Linked DNA regions of Coturnix japonica. The protein of the gene in region 2 purifies or fractionates together with the protein of the main gene of each other region. This does not show direct contact. Links are inferred from orthologs where the notes say so. Each region holds a gene or a part of one and is shown on either strand. Other genes may lie near its edges.

Region 1 (7,954 bases), on a different chromosome or scaffold from region 2:
TTGCACACACCAGGATCACATCCATTGAATCCCCACACACCTCCCCATCTGGTCCTTGTAATATTAGAGATGGATCTGCTGCTTCATTTTGTGTTCTGCATCCATCTTCTCTGAGGCACGGTCTGGAAACTGCTCTGCAACCCATCCCACAGCACGCAGGGACTCCTCCTTGTGTCCAGTGGGTCAGGAAGGAAGGCAAAAAGCTGTGGAGTTATAAGAATTCCCAAAGGGCAGCAAGTACAAAGAACAAATAGTCATTGTAAACACACGCAAACAAAAATACTTCATTGTTTTAAATGCAAAAGGCATTTTCTGTTGTCAGATGCGAGCAAGCTGCGTTGCTTTCACATAGAGAGGCTGTTAGCAACAAACTAGCTGACCCATGCTTAAAAGCATTCCAGAGATACTTACCCCCCTGGGAGACCAGAAATACCAGAGAAGCCATTTTCTTACAGCCTGATTGTTCCTCCCAGCACCAGGCTTGAATTAGGCTTATGCTTGTCGGAGAATAGAGAAAGAGCATAACCTTATCTCAGAGCAACACACAAACCTACCCTGCAGCTTTCGGGCTGAGCTTGGCCATTTATTGGCACAGTGCTTGGCGTGGTTTCTCAGATAGTGACAAGAATGGAAGTGATATCTGGGGTGGTAACAGGCGGGTGTGAAGGAAATGGTTTGGCTGTGCAGATTTCCAGGAACAAGAACACCAACACTTAAGACAAGCCAATTGGGCTCAAACGACACAAAAACTACAGTGCATCAATGATGCACCCTTCTGTGCATTAAACAGCCGTGAGAGTCACTTGCATTTTTTGCTGTATAGCTCCAGACCATTAGTTTGTTATTAAAACCTATTAAGAGCATGCTTGGCAATAAAAACCCATGAAAGAATGCCTGTGTTCTATGCTAGAATAATAATAATTAATTAAAAAATATATATAATTTTTTAAAGTGTTTTCTGTCTGTCAGCACATTTTCATCTGCTCTGACACTTAAGATTCCTTCATCTTCCTCCTCGCTTGTTGTAAGGGTGGCTAGTATAAAGATGCTAACAAAGATGATGGTAGATAGTCAAAGGTTATTAGCAAAGGAAAACTCACCAACATCAATGTCTTGACCAGAAAGCTGAGGCAGTCTCCACTGAGGACCAATCTCCCAGAGATGCTGTCTCAGTGGTGGTCAGCCCTTAAATGAGGTCTTAGAGGAGGTGGTCAAGGTCCACCCCTTCCTGGAGCACAGCTAAATTACTCTCACCTGTGCTCCCACAGCTGACCCAGCACTTGCCTCAGCTGATTAATCAGAGGTTCAAGCTGTGATTTCCCATACACTTGTCCAAACCAGCATCGACACCTCAGTCCCCACATGTCCAGTTTCAGGCCTCTCTGCCTTCCAGAGGTACAACTACCTCCCCAATGCCTCCATGCCCTGCCAAGGAAGGGGCAGGGAGATGCCAGTAGCGGGCCATTATGTGATTGCTCTGATGTGGAGATCCCAGTAGTTTTTAGCATGCAGCCCATTACTTCTCTCTCCTTTTCTGCACATTCACCCACATCTCTTGTACATTTATATATAAACCCTTCCGTGCTACTATTTCTGTTTCATCCCTTCCCTCCCACCTCATGCTCCCATTAGAATTTTGAAAGCCTTTGAATTTCAAAAGCATATGAAAAGTTGTTCATCACTGTCTGGTCCCATCTGCTTCTGCATATACATACGGCAAGCAGCGATTTCTTTATGAAATGGTGCTGCTGAGCATTTCCGCAGCTATGTCCCAAACCACACACTAATTGGCTTCTACACTTACACTCATTCCTCTCCCTGCCCCTGTTCTGTTTTTAACTGAATCGTTCTCCTTCATCTTCTCTCTTCCTGTTGTCCCAAATCAGCCTTAATTTTCTATTTCCATTTCAGATGTTTGCATCGAAGGTCATTTTGCACTCTGCCTCCATAGGTCAGGGCAAGCAAGAGCTATGGGTGAGCTCACAGCCCCAGCTCTCTGCTCCTACATCTGCTCTGCAGTGCCCTGCATTGGCAGCTGTGCTTGTTCAGGAGATTGAAGCAGGCACTTCCCTAAGTTAGCACACTCCTAACTTTAGTCACAATGAGAACAACCTATAACTCTCTCTATAACTTCCTGAAGGGGGGTTGTAGTGAGCTGGGGGTTGGCCTCTTCTCTCGTGTAATCAGTGATAGAACTAGAGGGAATGGTTTTAAGCTGCGGCAGGGGAGATTCAGGCTGGACATGAGGAAGTATTACTTCTCATAAAGGGTAGTCAGGCATTGGAATGCACTGCCCAGGGAGGTGGTGGAGTCACCGACCATGGGAGTGTTCAAGAAACGTCTGGATGTTGTGTTGAGGGATATGATTTAGCTGGGAAGTATTGGTGATAGTTGGACTGGATGATCTTCTAGATCTTTTCCAACCTTGATAATTCTGTGATTCTGTGAACCCATACAAACTCATTTCTGCCTCTGCTGCATGTTTGGGCCCAGCGCCCAGAACCAGCATTGTCTGCTCTTAAAGTCCTTATTGACAACCTGAGTAATGCTTGATGAGGCATTTTGTCTTGTGGTCTTTGTTTCTCTCTTTCACTTGTTTAATTGAATTTGATCTTATACTGAAATAACGTGCTAACACAGTACCCATCTTTTATAATGATCAAATGTGGAGATTAAAGGCCTACAAAGCAGCCCTAAATCCAACACAGAACGTGCTGCCAAAAGAAACTTAAAAAAAAACAAGACAGGGAAGAAAAATTGCTTCTTTTTCCCATCCCAGTGTAAACAGTCTGTGCCCCTCCTACTCGATTTAGTGCTTCCCAAATCACAGAATCACAGAATGACCTGGGTTGGAAGGGACCTCAAGGATCATGTAGTTCCAACCCCCTGCCTGGCTAGCCGGCCGCAAAACAGAACATGACACGACTTTTACTAGATCAGGGTTGCCCCAGTGCCCCGTCCAAACCTTGCGGTCTCTGAATCACCTCCCAAGGGACGGGGCATCCCACAACCTCCCTGGGCAGCCTGTTCCAGGGCCTAACCACTCTCCTAGTGAAGAACTTCCCCCTAACATCCAACCTAAATCTTCCCTCTTTCAACTTAAAACCATTTCCCCGTGTCCTGCTATTGTCAGCCCTTTCGAAGAGTTTACTCCCCTCCTGGGAGTAAGTTCCCTTCAAATGCTTTCCATCAAGCGCTCCTGAGCAAAGAGAAGAACCAGTGGCAGTGCGAGCTGTGAGAAAACACAGCAAGAAGTGGGAAGGTGCCTGTGGGAATGGCCTATGGGCCCGGCCGTGTCATCGCGGAGCTCGCTTTACAGCTGACCCCTGAACTTTGTGCACAGCAGTTGTTCATGGCTCTGGTGATGAGTCGCTGGAAGGGGCCCAAAGGGATCGTAGAGCCCAGCGCCTGGCGCTGCGCAGCACCACCCGGATTCACGCCCTAGCTCGGTCTGAGCGTGTCATGCAGACGCTCCTTGAGCTCCGGCTGCCTCGGGGCTGTCAGTGCTGCCCTGGGGATCCTGCTTGTGATACACAAACGTTCGGCCGCGTACTATTTGGAGGTGAAAAAGAACGCCCGCCCGCCCGCGCTCTCCGCCGCTCCCGGCGCTGTCCCTCGGCGCTCGCCGTCGGGCCGCAGCCAATCAGGCGGCTCGTGGCAGCGGCGGGAGCCGTGCGGCGCCATGGAGGAGGTGTGCGCGCGGTTCGTGTCGCAGAAGATCAGCAAGGCCCGATGGCGGCCCCTGCCCGCCGCCGCGCTGCAGCCCCCGGAGCTCTTCGCCACCGGCTCCTGGGACAACGAGGTAACGCGGCACGGCCTTACCGGGCGGGTCGCTGCCTCCCCCGCCTCGGGCCCCGCAGGCGCCGGGGAGTCCTTGTCCGCAGCCCACAGGTAAAAGCGGCCGTGTCGTTTCCCTGCAGGACAACCGCATCTCCGTGTGGTCTGTGGGAGATGCGGGAAGCGCGGACCTCAATGGGGAATATCAAGGAGAGCCTCAGCTGCTGTGTGACATCCGGCACAACGGAGACGTGATGGACATGCAGGTGAGGGAGCTGCTCGTCATCTGAGGCAAACGGGGTGACAAGGAGCTGACTTGGGGGTTGGAACTACATGAGCCTTGAGGTCCCTTCCAACCCGGGTCATTCTGTGGCTTTTAACAAAGAAAGTTATGAAGAGTGGCAAATTAAATGAGTATCAGTTTGTGGGTGTTTTACTGCACCTACCCACACATCTGAATACTCTGAATTGAAAATCACCATCCTGGTGTTGATATCAACTCATAACGTGCTTGTTAATCTCTTTAGTTTTTGGATCAAGAGAGAATTGTTGTTGCCTCATCAACAGGAAGCGTGACTGTGTTCCGGCATCATCAGAACAACCAGGTAGGCACCTGCAGCTGCAGTGCGGGTCCCTTGGATCTCAGCGTGAGATTTCTCAAATTAAAAGCAGGAGGCATCCAGAGTCAGCAATAAATTCTTCAAAGCATTTTAGAAGTAGATTTGGTTTTGTACCTGCACAGGGAGAAAAACATCTTCGACACACACAGCATAAATCAGATTCCAGAGCCAGACAGATTGGGTTCTGTTAATATGTTGTAAGCAATAGACCACTCACTAAAAATGTACTTGAGTTTTTATGCGGTTATATATATGAGAATAAATAATTTCAGGGAGTGGGAATGAGTGAACTTGTACTTTTATTTATTTGCATGGCACAACAAAGACTAACATCTGTTAATAGTTTCATGTGGTACTTAGGATAAACCGAGTTTCCTTCAATCAGAATCTAAATCTGATCTTACACTTTGTAAAGGCTCAAGTTCTATTTCTTTGTCCTAGGAAAAGATTGGAGGCTAAGTCTAGTGAGAGATACTTCATATTCAGACATAGATCCTATTAATTCCAAGTTCTCTCTCTTGTGTGAAAGAGATGGTTCAGAGCAGACAGTGCCTCACTGAAGGGAGACCAAGGAAGTTCAGATTTCTGGTTCTTATTTATGTAGAAGATTCCTATTGCAGTGAGGTACTATGGCTTTCCTGGAGCTTCTTTCCAGTTGTATGAGTATTTGTGAGTATTCCGAAAGCTTTACTCAATCGGGATCGTTATTTACCAGCAGAATCTCATGTCTGGTTGCTACTTAGACTCTATCTGCCAGTCACCGGTGGGAGAACGCCCATTATCACGCGGATCAATACACAGCTTGTGGTGGAGCAGCGTGTACCGGAGTCATCTGCAACAACCCAGAAATTGTCACTGTCGGAGAAGATGGTAGAATTAATCTCTTCAGAGCTGACCAAAAGGATGCAGTGAGGACTATAGGTATGTCAAGTCAATGCTCAGCATGTTTTGGTTTGGAACATCTCGGTTGGTGTATAGAATAGAATATTTATTTTAGCCAAAATATTGTGTGACAGAAAGGAAAGCAATTGAGAACTGAATTCAATATCCCAAGGTGAATGTATTTCCTCCAGGTCATTCCTACATTCCTCCAGACTTACAAGTATTTGAAGTATGTTTCAGATATGTTTCTATATGCATTCAGTTTGTAAGTTATGTTTTAACTGGTGGAGATGTTTTAAGATTTAACATTCCCAGAATGCTTCTGTTTGATCTGGAGTCATTAAATGCTCTGATAGAATGCACGAGATAGTTCTATTTCCAGAAGCATCGTGTCATCAATTGTTTATAAGCAGGGGTCGGTAACTACTGTCATTTCAATTCATTATTTATAGTAAGCTTAAGCCTTGTGTTATCCATACTCAAAACCATCAATTTGTGTGGAAAAGAATTTGTGTGTTCTAAAGGAGCACAAGGAGCCAGAAGTTACTATTTGTCCCCTGTTGTACCAGGTGCCATGGCTCACAGCCGTCATCTCTCACTTAGTGAAATGGGTTCATGTTTCTTGAGATAGAATTATCTAATAGAGTAACAAGTGCTTGTGGAAGGTGTCAAAGCTTATTCTCAGCATTTCCATCTTGCTGCCTTCATGGAGTAGCATGTGGAAAACAAAAGCAGAAATGATATGAAGCGCAGTAACAGCATTATTGATAATGGAACTTTCTCCCTGAAACCTCAGTTTGACACGTTGCCTGTGTTTCTCCTCAAGTGAAATCTTGCTTCAGATTGAACAGATGAAGGAACTTAGACAGTGATAAGCCAATTAAGGAATGAAGCTCCCTGGGATTTCTGGAGGGGGGTATTTGTGTGTGCAGGGCTGTATACATGCACACACAAAGCAAATCCTATTAATTGCATACAGTTCTTTACTGAAGCTCTCTGAGAACTGCAGGAAGTCATTTTAAAACATAGGAAGAAACACAGAAGTTGCACAAGGCAGAGTTTTATCAGTAACACGCAAAAAAAACCCAAAACCCTGTAACTCTTCAACTCTTCAGCACTGAGGGGAAAAAAGTAATTAGTTAAAAAGGTTTATTTTAATTTCAAGTTTTCATTTATAAATGGATACCAGCACAGAATGTTTCGGTACAGGTTTAATGGAACAGAATGTTTTGCTGACTCAGGAGGGAAATGTCCTCACAGATCTCTGTTTTTTTCTGAGCAGTTGCTCAAATGATTGTATTCAGATGTAATAATGTGCAGGATGCAATCAGTAGTTTTCTTAGTGCTCATTGGTGGTATTATGTAAAAATGATTACTTTGTACTGGTAACATAAACTGAGACTGCACTGAGGTGCTGAGCTCAGCAGGAACATATGCATAAAATAAATCAGATGTGAATTAACTGAGAAATATCCTTTTGGAAACAGAAATAATAAAATATAAATGAACCATAAATAATTCAGTCAAATGTGTGACTTGGTGAGTTGATCTTACTTGGACTTAAGTGGAAAGGACTAGCAGAAGCTCATTGATTAGAGGTGGTTTAAGACTAAAAGTTGGAATGGGAGAGAAGAGGAAATGTTGGAAGATGCTTTAAAGTTGCCTGGGATGGGGTTAGTTTAGTTTTTAAATAGCTGGAGTGGAAATAGATTTATGTTACCCCATCATAATCAAGATTAAAGAGTTACATAACACAGAGTGATTCTATATGGATGCAGTGCTTGTTTTAGTCTCTCCTAAAGCCTCTTGTTTCAAGTCAGTTCTGTGACCTGTTCTTGGCACTTGTAGAAAACTGTGATCAGAAGGAGCACTGTAGAAAAAGACCTGGAAAATGGCTTTCTCATTTGTTCAGATTAACAGACAAAGCATTGTTTCTGTTTGTCTTTAAGGATGAATATGATATTGATGACTGCTCTTGGAAAGTGCCTGAAGAAAGTATTTTAAACACCGATTGCTGAAATAAGTGCTTCTGTGTTCCACTGTTCTGTGTTCTCAGCAAGAATTACAGCTTCTTGTAGGAGAAACAGAAAGGAGAAGAGCATTCTTAAAAACTCCGCAGCCTTTCTTGTATTTGTGGATTGAGAGCTTGTAAAGAGAACTCTCAGGAAAGTCACAGGCTCGGCTTAATTGATTATTCTTAGGTACTCCAGAAAGAAAACTTACGGATTAGCAAGTGAGTCAGTAAGAACTGGATCTAATCAAACACAGCTTCTTACAGGTTTGTCTAGATAATATTTCTATAGGAAGCAAGGTTATTCTTGCAACACTTAAAATTTCACATAACGCTGGGCCATCTCTGACCCTGAGAATGTAGTCTGGTTTTAGAAGAGCTGTTTAGTGTTCATTAAATGGAGTTAAGTGTTCTGTAGGTTTACCTGAACTTGTAGTTTAATGCTTTGCTAACCTCTCTTGCAGACAATGCAGATAGCAGTACGCTCCATGCTGTGACTTTCCTTCGCACGACTGAGATCTTGACGGTAAATTCAATTGGACAGTTGAAAATATGGGACTTCAGACAACAAAGAAATGAGCCAGCTCAGATATTTTCTTTGTAAGACCTTAATTTTTGTCTACTTACTGAGAAGCACATGCTACTTCATATCTGATTTAAGTCT
Region 2 (7,287 bases):
AGGGTTCTGGGCTGGTGTGTGTATTTAGTTTTGTTTTCCATTTGTTCGTGTCTAGTGCTCGTATGAGCTCTGTAAAAATGTCTGGCCTTCTCAACATACAAAGTAGTAAACTGGATTTGTGGTAATGTGAGAGCAGTCAATGGAGTTGATGGATCTACTGTGTAAAATCTTTCTGTGACCACACATTTGAATCGTATTATCAATCTTAGTGTGACAGAAAGTAGAGCATCCAAATAAAACAGATGTGTGGCATCATCTGTTTCTGAAAAAGGACAGGGTAGGGGGTGAATGCCAAGTCAATTTTGGAAGTTAAAAACTGTTCAGATTGATGTTTCTATGGTAAGTTTTCTTTTCCACCAAGTGATGATGAAGTTTTTCTCAATAGGTTTTAAATGCAAGCGAAAAGATGAATGTAGACAACTTGTTTCAGAAAGATGCTCTTGTTCGACAAAGCCAGGTAAGAGAATTTTTGTGGTGAGAACGGAAATAGATGAGTAAACACTTAAATATTTATGAAACTAATGTTACATCAGCTTTAGAAAATATGAGCTCTGTGTATTTTATTAAGCTGTGTCAAGTAACTATTTCTTTATATTCATCTAGGCCTGTGCAGCAATATTGCTCCTTGATTTCTAGAGATCAGAAATATTTCAGGCTGGGCTGGAGAGCATAGAAGGCTGAGAACTGTTCCAATTTGGATCATCTGCAACTGTTGTTACTAATTAAGGAGCTATTAAATAGTGCAGTAGTAACTGCAGCATCTAGTGAGAAATATATCAAGTGCCAAAACAAGCTTCAAACTGGGCACTTAAGTTGAGCTTTTTCTTAGGATATGTACGCCTTGGATTACTGTGTAGATATCAAATAGATTCAGAGATGAGAGAAAGATGGAGTATTATTTATTGTGTGTTTGTTCTAAAAAAAGCTATTGAATTTCATTCCAGCTGGTGGTAGATTGGCTAGAGAGCATCGCCAAGGATGAAATTGGGAACTTCTCTGATAATATTGAGTTTTACGCAAAATCTGTGTATTGGTGAGTTCAGACTTTTGATTGTATCCATGCTTCCTCAATTGTAATATTCACAGAACCAGACACAGAATCAGTCTAGAACCACCTAAGAAGTTGGTCCATTCATTCATTTTTCCTTAAATTCATTGATATGAAAAGTGAGCTACTCCCCAGTTTGGCTATGTCTTCTCAAAAGTCAGATACTGCCTTTGGGAGGAGCAGGTGACAGGAAGGTTGTGAAAACAATTTAATTTAGTTTTACATAGATGACAGTTTAATTTTTCATCAAAAAGACATCAAAAAGATGGTCAGCTGCTGATCAGCAGGTGATAAAACTGTTCTCATGTGTTTCTCTTCTGTGCTCAGTTCTTTGTCTGGCTTTTGAAGTTCGTGTCATCACTTTTTACCATTTATCCTTCACCAAAAGTAATTATTGTCATCTTTATTACCAGCCAAGGATTTTAAGGCAGTAGAGAGCAAAGTCTTCTTGATTCTAGTTCCTATTATAAGCATTGTTTTAAAGACAGGTGAACACAGGCTTCTGGAATCGTGTGTTCATCCTAAGTTGTATTTCTATCCAAGACCGATAATGCTGAACACTAATGGGAAATCTTGTTCATGCAGAAATGGATTAATAGTTCATATACATTGAAAGTGGTTTTGAAAGAAGTCAAAGCCACGTGCATTGATTCCAGTATTGTACTTCTAATGAAATTGTACGATAACACTGTTCATTGATGCACAAACCAAACCAAGCATTCCTTTCTTGTAACCCTATTCCAATTATCCAGAAATATTTTCTAATTTTAATGTCTTATTAAAATGTTTGCTATTAATCCCTTCTTTCTCTCAAAAACATTTCACTGCTCCCAGGGAGAATACGCTACATATCCTGAAGCAGCGACAGTTAAGTACATTCATTGGAAGTTCTCGACCTCTGGTAACAGAATTGGTAAGTGTTATTTAAATATAAGACTTGGTTTTGGGCATAAAAGCCATTCAAAATGCTTTGCACAGAACACATATGCTGTTTTCTAAAAATGGGTGGAACGGGGCAGTTTTTGGTATCTATAAATTGTTGTAGTATCTAAAAATGACAAGGCATTAAGTTGGAAAATCAGTACAGAAATGGTGAAGCAGTAAGGAGGTCGCTGATGAGAGGATATTAGTGAATGCCAAAGTTGGAAGTCGCTGGATGATTAATATAATGATTAAAATTATCAGATCTTGATATATTTGTTTTAAATAGAAGCAAGTACAACTAGTGTGAAAAGGCTGCTGAGAAGCTGGAGGAGTATAGACAGGTAGATTGATAAGCAGAAGGGGAGAGGGCTTTTAAGGTGGGAAGAGCTGGAAGATGAGAGGTTTGAGGCAGAGGCATAGTGATAAATAAGGAGATTACAGTTGATAGGAACAGTGACAGAAGAGGAATAAAGGAAATAAAGACAAGGAAGCATCATGCTAGAGATTATGTGGGCTGTATAACATGTTGTGCCAATATGAAAATGTGACTCTGAATTGTAAAACAGGACAGGAAATCATTGGAAGAGGCGGATACGCATTATTTGAATGGATGGATGGTTCCTTTTTTTCCTTGCAGGATCCAGATGCTCCCATTAGACAGAAACTGCCACTTGATGATTTGGATCGAGAAGACGATGCAAGATTACTGAAGTATCTCTTCACTCTTATCAGAGCAGGGATGACAGATGAGGTAAACCTCAGAAAATGAAAGAATATTCTCGGTTAAGTAGTTTAACTTGTTTAAAACCTTACTATTAAAGCTGTATGATTTGAATGGAGCTGAGGGAAAGTCATGGCATAGCATGTTACCTTTTTTTTTTTAACCTTTACTGTTTGGCCAGGTGTCTTTGTAAGGAAAAACCTCAAATAGACTGTATTGGAATATTCTAGAAAGCATACTATTCTCCATTCACCCTTTTACTATAATTCTGCTTCTTGGCTGCTCTACAGAATATACAATGCGTATACAAGTTGCGCCAGGGCAAGTTTAGGTTGGATATTAGGAAGAACTTCTTTACAGAAAGGGTAGTTAGGTACTGGAATAGGCTCCCCAGGGAGGTGGTTGAATCCCCATCCCTGGATGTGTTTAAGAGCCGTCTGGATGTGATGCTCAGGGATATGATTTAGTGTAGGGTTTTTAGAGTTAGGGTTCTGGTTAGGCTGCAATTGGATTTGATGGTCTTCAAGGTCTTTTCCAACCTGGGTAATTCTATGATTCTATATTTTGCCTTAATCCTTATCTGAGTAACATCTGGCAGTCCTGGTCCTAATGCTGTTCCAAGTAAAGATGTCCAGTTGTGAAGCAGCTTTTGTGATTTAACGTAACTAGCTGTACTGTGGTGTGGTCTGAGCTGGAAGCTCAGTCTTATACCAGGCTCTACAATTATATGACATTTGGAAAATGGAAAGGAAAAGGTACTTCAGATTCCTGTGTCTAAGACCTTAGATTAGAAAGTTGGTCACTTGCTGGTATTCTGTTCCCCTGTCCATTCATTGTTTGATAGTATGGGCACAAGTCCACGTTGCTTCAGAGGGGTATGAATATAAATCTTCAATTTCAGTTGCACTACGGTGTTCCTACTATCTGATAAGCATGGAGTCACTTATTCTCTGTTGAAAGAGTTAAAACCAAGAAACAGCCTTGGTTCCTTTATCTTACGATAGATAAAATATAGTATGTGAGCTTGACCATTGTCATTCCATGCTGTTCAAAATAGCTTCGAATTAAATCTCTTTGTTCTAGTGAGTAGGCTATTGATATCATGGGAAAGTTAGACGTGGTATTTTTAGCAGCACACAAGGGGTTTGGAAAGCTACGTCAATTAGAAAAGTAGGTGAAGAGATGGTTAAGGGATTTAAGCAACAAGGTGGTACTTTAAGCTTGTCAGAAGGACATGGAACAGCTGTTTAAGCCAGAAGGGTGAGACTGTAATGCATCTATCATACTTACAAGTAAGTATTGATAAAAACTTAAACATTTAATGAGAAACACACTGATTACATTTCATTACTTTGAAATTCTTCAGTTATTTTGAGTTTCAGGTTCTTTTTTGCCTAGTGCAATCCCTACACAAATGAATGATTTTAATAACGTTTGCATTTCTTCCCTTGAAGTCGATTGCAGAGAAAATCTATTATTTTTCAGGCCCAGCGCTTATGCAAACGATGCGGTCAGGCCTGGAGAGCTGCAACTTTGGAAGGATGGAAATTGTATCATGATCCCAACATAAATGGAGGTATTTACTTCCATCTGCATTTGAGAACTGTAAAAATAAGCAGAGGGTTTTCTCTTTAGCAAAGAGAATTAGCTCTTTATTTAATACTGAGGGTCTTTCTTGTGCCTAGAATATGTTTTACCATGTCTGTTGATCACATTTAACATGCATGAGATGATTTAATTGAAGGTATGAGTTCACTGAATCCACTTAACATAGTTAAGTCAATTTTTGGGTGTTTTTTTATACAAACATAGCAGCTAGGAAAACAGATGTCTAGGAATTCTGGACAGATCTTCACCACCACCATTCATGTCTCAGTACGTGTTTTCTCTATGTCAGAGAACCTTCTGCCTTCTATAATTATAGAATGGTTTGGGTTGGAAGGGACCTTTAAGACCATCTAGTTCCAACCTCCTGCTGCAGGCAGGGACACCTCGCTCTAGACCAGGTTGCTCACAGCCCTATCCAGCCTGGCCTTGAGTGCTTCCAGGTAGAGGACATCTGCAGCCTCACTGTTCAACCTGTTCCAGTGCCTCACCACTCTTAACAGTTAAGGATTTCTGATATCTGATCTAAATCTTCCCTCTTTCAGTTTAAAGCTATTCCAGTTTAAAGGCACTAAGCCAGCTAGCAAACATTTTATTGCTTATAGACTCCAAGATGGAGTCCATAAGCATTCCAAGATCTCTTGGAAGCCAAGAGATATAATAGGACTAAAGAGCTCTGCAAAGGTAAACGGAGGAAAAATACATGGTTTTATAGTATTTGGACTTTGCTAGATTTAGCAAAGGATTTATGAGCATGTCTGAGTGCTGTGCACACCTGAGACTGGAAGGCATAATGCTTTCCTGCTTTTCAAACCCTGATATCCCATTACTTTTATCTCGACTGGTGTCTTAGCCTTGTTTTGGAGTGTTGTTTTTATTATTATTATCCTTTGCAAACAGGAAACGAGGTCCGGCCTGTTGAAGGGAATCCATACAGATGCATTTGGAAAATATGTTGTTGGCGGATGGCTGAAGAGGTAAGATAATGTTAATTTGCTTGGTAGTCATGTGAAATGTTCAACTTCTTTGAACTATAACATGATTTTAAGTAAGCCTGCCTTCTTGGTTTACTGTCTGTGGGGATTTGCGGTTCATGTTTCTAAGAGGACTTCTGAAATAATATATTTTTCATGTAGATAAAACCTGCCCAATCAGCATCAATCTTTAAGGCTTTGGAAATGTCAGTTTTGTTTAGTTGAGAGTGAAGCTGCTGATGCTGGTTTTCATCTGGGCTCAGCTGAATGGGAAAGGAAAAACCATTGCTTTTCAACTTTTCAAGTGCATGGAACACTTAGTAATGGATTAGTCTCTAATAAAATGTAACTTATCAGGATGTGTTGGTGCTTTTTAACTCATGGGTAATTTTTCAACTGTTTATTTTAGGAGCAATTCAACAGATACGAGAGAGCAATCTATGCAGCACTCAGTGGAAACCTCAAGCAGGTATGTTAGGCCTCCTAGTACATGGTGTTCAGCACTTGTGAATTATTATATGTGATAATAACATCATAAAGACATTCTTCTTAATGTGCTTTCAAAAGCTTAGTAATCATGACAATAGCAATAACAGACATGGTCTGTGCAAGATTTTTCTGCCTTAATTAAATATACTTAATAGACTTTTTTAGTATTATTGTTGCTGACCCTCAGGGCAACCGGTTTTGATTTTGTTGTTTTAGATTTGAAATGTTAGTGTTATCTAAAAGCTTGTGCAGCCACTTTTCTGCCCATGCACCATATTCTGATTTGTCAGTGTAACCAAATTTCACTATTGATAGTTTCAAGTAGTTCTTCTTATGTGTTTGAATCCTCCAGGTATTTTCTGTGCTCTCCTTCTTCTAAGTACCGATGCTTTTTGTACATGTATGTAAATAAATCACTACTTAGGAGAAGGAACTGGATATGAAGTTTTAGCACAAAGACGGCAAATCAGAGAGTCATGGAATTGCTCAGGTTGGAAAAGACCTTAAAGATAATCGAGTCCAACCACAACCCAACCATATGACCCCATCTAACAACCCTCTGCTAAATCATGTCCCTGAGGAAAAAAAACTGATCCTAAGTTACAGTTGGTGTGTTTGGATTCTGATGGTTCTCCATCTCTAACATTTTGCTCTGTTCTGTTGCTTAAAATATGCAGCTTCTTCCAGTTTGTGACACGTGGGAGGACACCGTTTGGGCTTATTTCAGGGTCATGGTGGATACACTCGTGGAGCAGGAAATACGAACATCAGTAGTAAGTGCCGAGGAGGTGGAAGAGCTCCCGAGGGAGTATTTAGAAACCAAGTAAGTTTTAGGTAGCAGTTGTGTTCCTCCCCTCAACAAAGGATCGTTTCACAGTATTAAATGTAATGTTTGTGGTGTGGGGTTTTTTTTTAACCTTCTGTCTTCTACTTTAAAGCTGGACTTCAGAAAAAGTATTTGAAGAACTTCAGGCAACAGACAAGAAGGTATTTATTGCTGACAGTTTCTCCTCACTGTTGGCTATTTTAACTTACACAGTCCTTTGTGCTCCTCTATTTCATCAAACAGTGACTGGCTTTCTGTCCCTGTAATGTATTCTTCATTCAAATAGATTTTTCTGACACCTTTTAATGATGAAGAAGGTGCAGGTTTTGTCTTGTTTCTTATCTGCCAAACTAATTGAATGTGCTGAAGAAACAGCGGAGCACAAATTGCTGTCAGACGTGCAAAGCAGACAATGTAAATCGCATTATTAACACTCTGATAAAATGTGTGAAGAATGATTGCTTGGGGTTTTCTTTGTGGGAGGTTCGCATGTATATTTCAGAGCAGGTCTTTCAAAAGAAGTATGTATATTTTTAGTACACTGTGTTTGTCCTTTCATTTAAGCTGGAATAGATAAATTAGATGTTAATTTTTGTAAAGATTAAATTGAAACTGTATTAGATGGGGTCAAATGAAAAGCTTGCAGATGGAAGCAGCCAGCCAGGTACACTCAGCTGCCGTGGCCTTTCTGGTGCTGTGC

The links.
Region 1: the proteins of NUP107 (region 2) and NUP43 purify together in Homo sapiens (affinity purification with mass spectrometry; 8 studies listed by BioGRID and IntAct, counting the BioPlex papers as one, with this or other methods). This does not show direct contact. The link is inferred for Coturnix japonica from reciprocal best matches to the Homo sapiens genes NUP107 and NUP43.

Annotation. Positions count from the first base shown.
Region 1 is NC_029518.1:43,394,117-43,402,070, reverse strand, and holds the start of NUP43 (nucleoporin Nup43), read left to right. Parts: upstream 1-3,636; 5' UTR 3,637-3,682; coding exon 3,683-3,802; intron 3,803-3,920; coding exon 3,921-4,043; intron 4,044-4,304; coding exon 4,305-4,382; intron 4,383-5,140; coding exon 5,141-5,318; intron 5,319-7,754; coding exon 7,755-7,890; intron 7,891-7,954. UniProt on the Homo sapiens protein: Component of the Nup107-160 subcomplex of the nuclear pore complex (NPC). The Nup107-160 subcomplex is required for the assembly of a functional NPC.
Region 2 is NC_029516.1:31,996,882-32,004,168, forward strand, and holds part of NUP107 (nuclear pore complex protein Nup107), read left to right. Parts: intron 1-385; coding exon 386-457; intron 458-944; coding exon 945-1,033; intron 1,034-1,882; coding exon 1,883-1,961; intron 1,962-2,609; coding exon 2,610-2,723; intron 2,724-4,178; coding exon 4,179-4,269; intron 4,270-5,198; coding exon 5,199-5,275; intron 5,276-5,681; coding exon 5,682-5,741; intron 5,742-6,438; coding exon 6,439-6,584; intron 6,585-6,699; coding exon 6,700-6,748; intron 6,749-7,287. UniProt on the Homo sapiens protein: Plays a role in the nuclear pore complex (NPC) assembly and/or maintenance. Required for the assembly of peripheral proteins into the NPC. May anchor NUP62 to the NPC. Involved in nephrogenesis.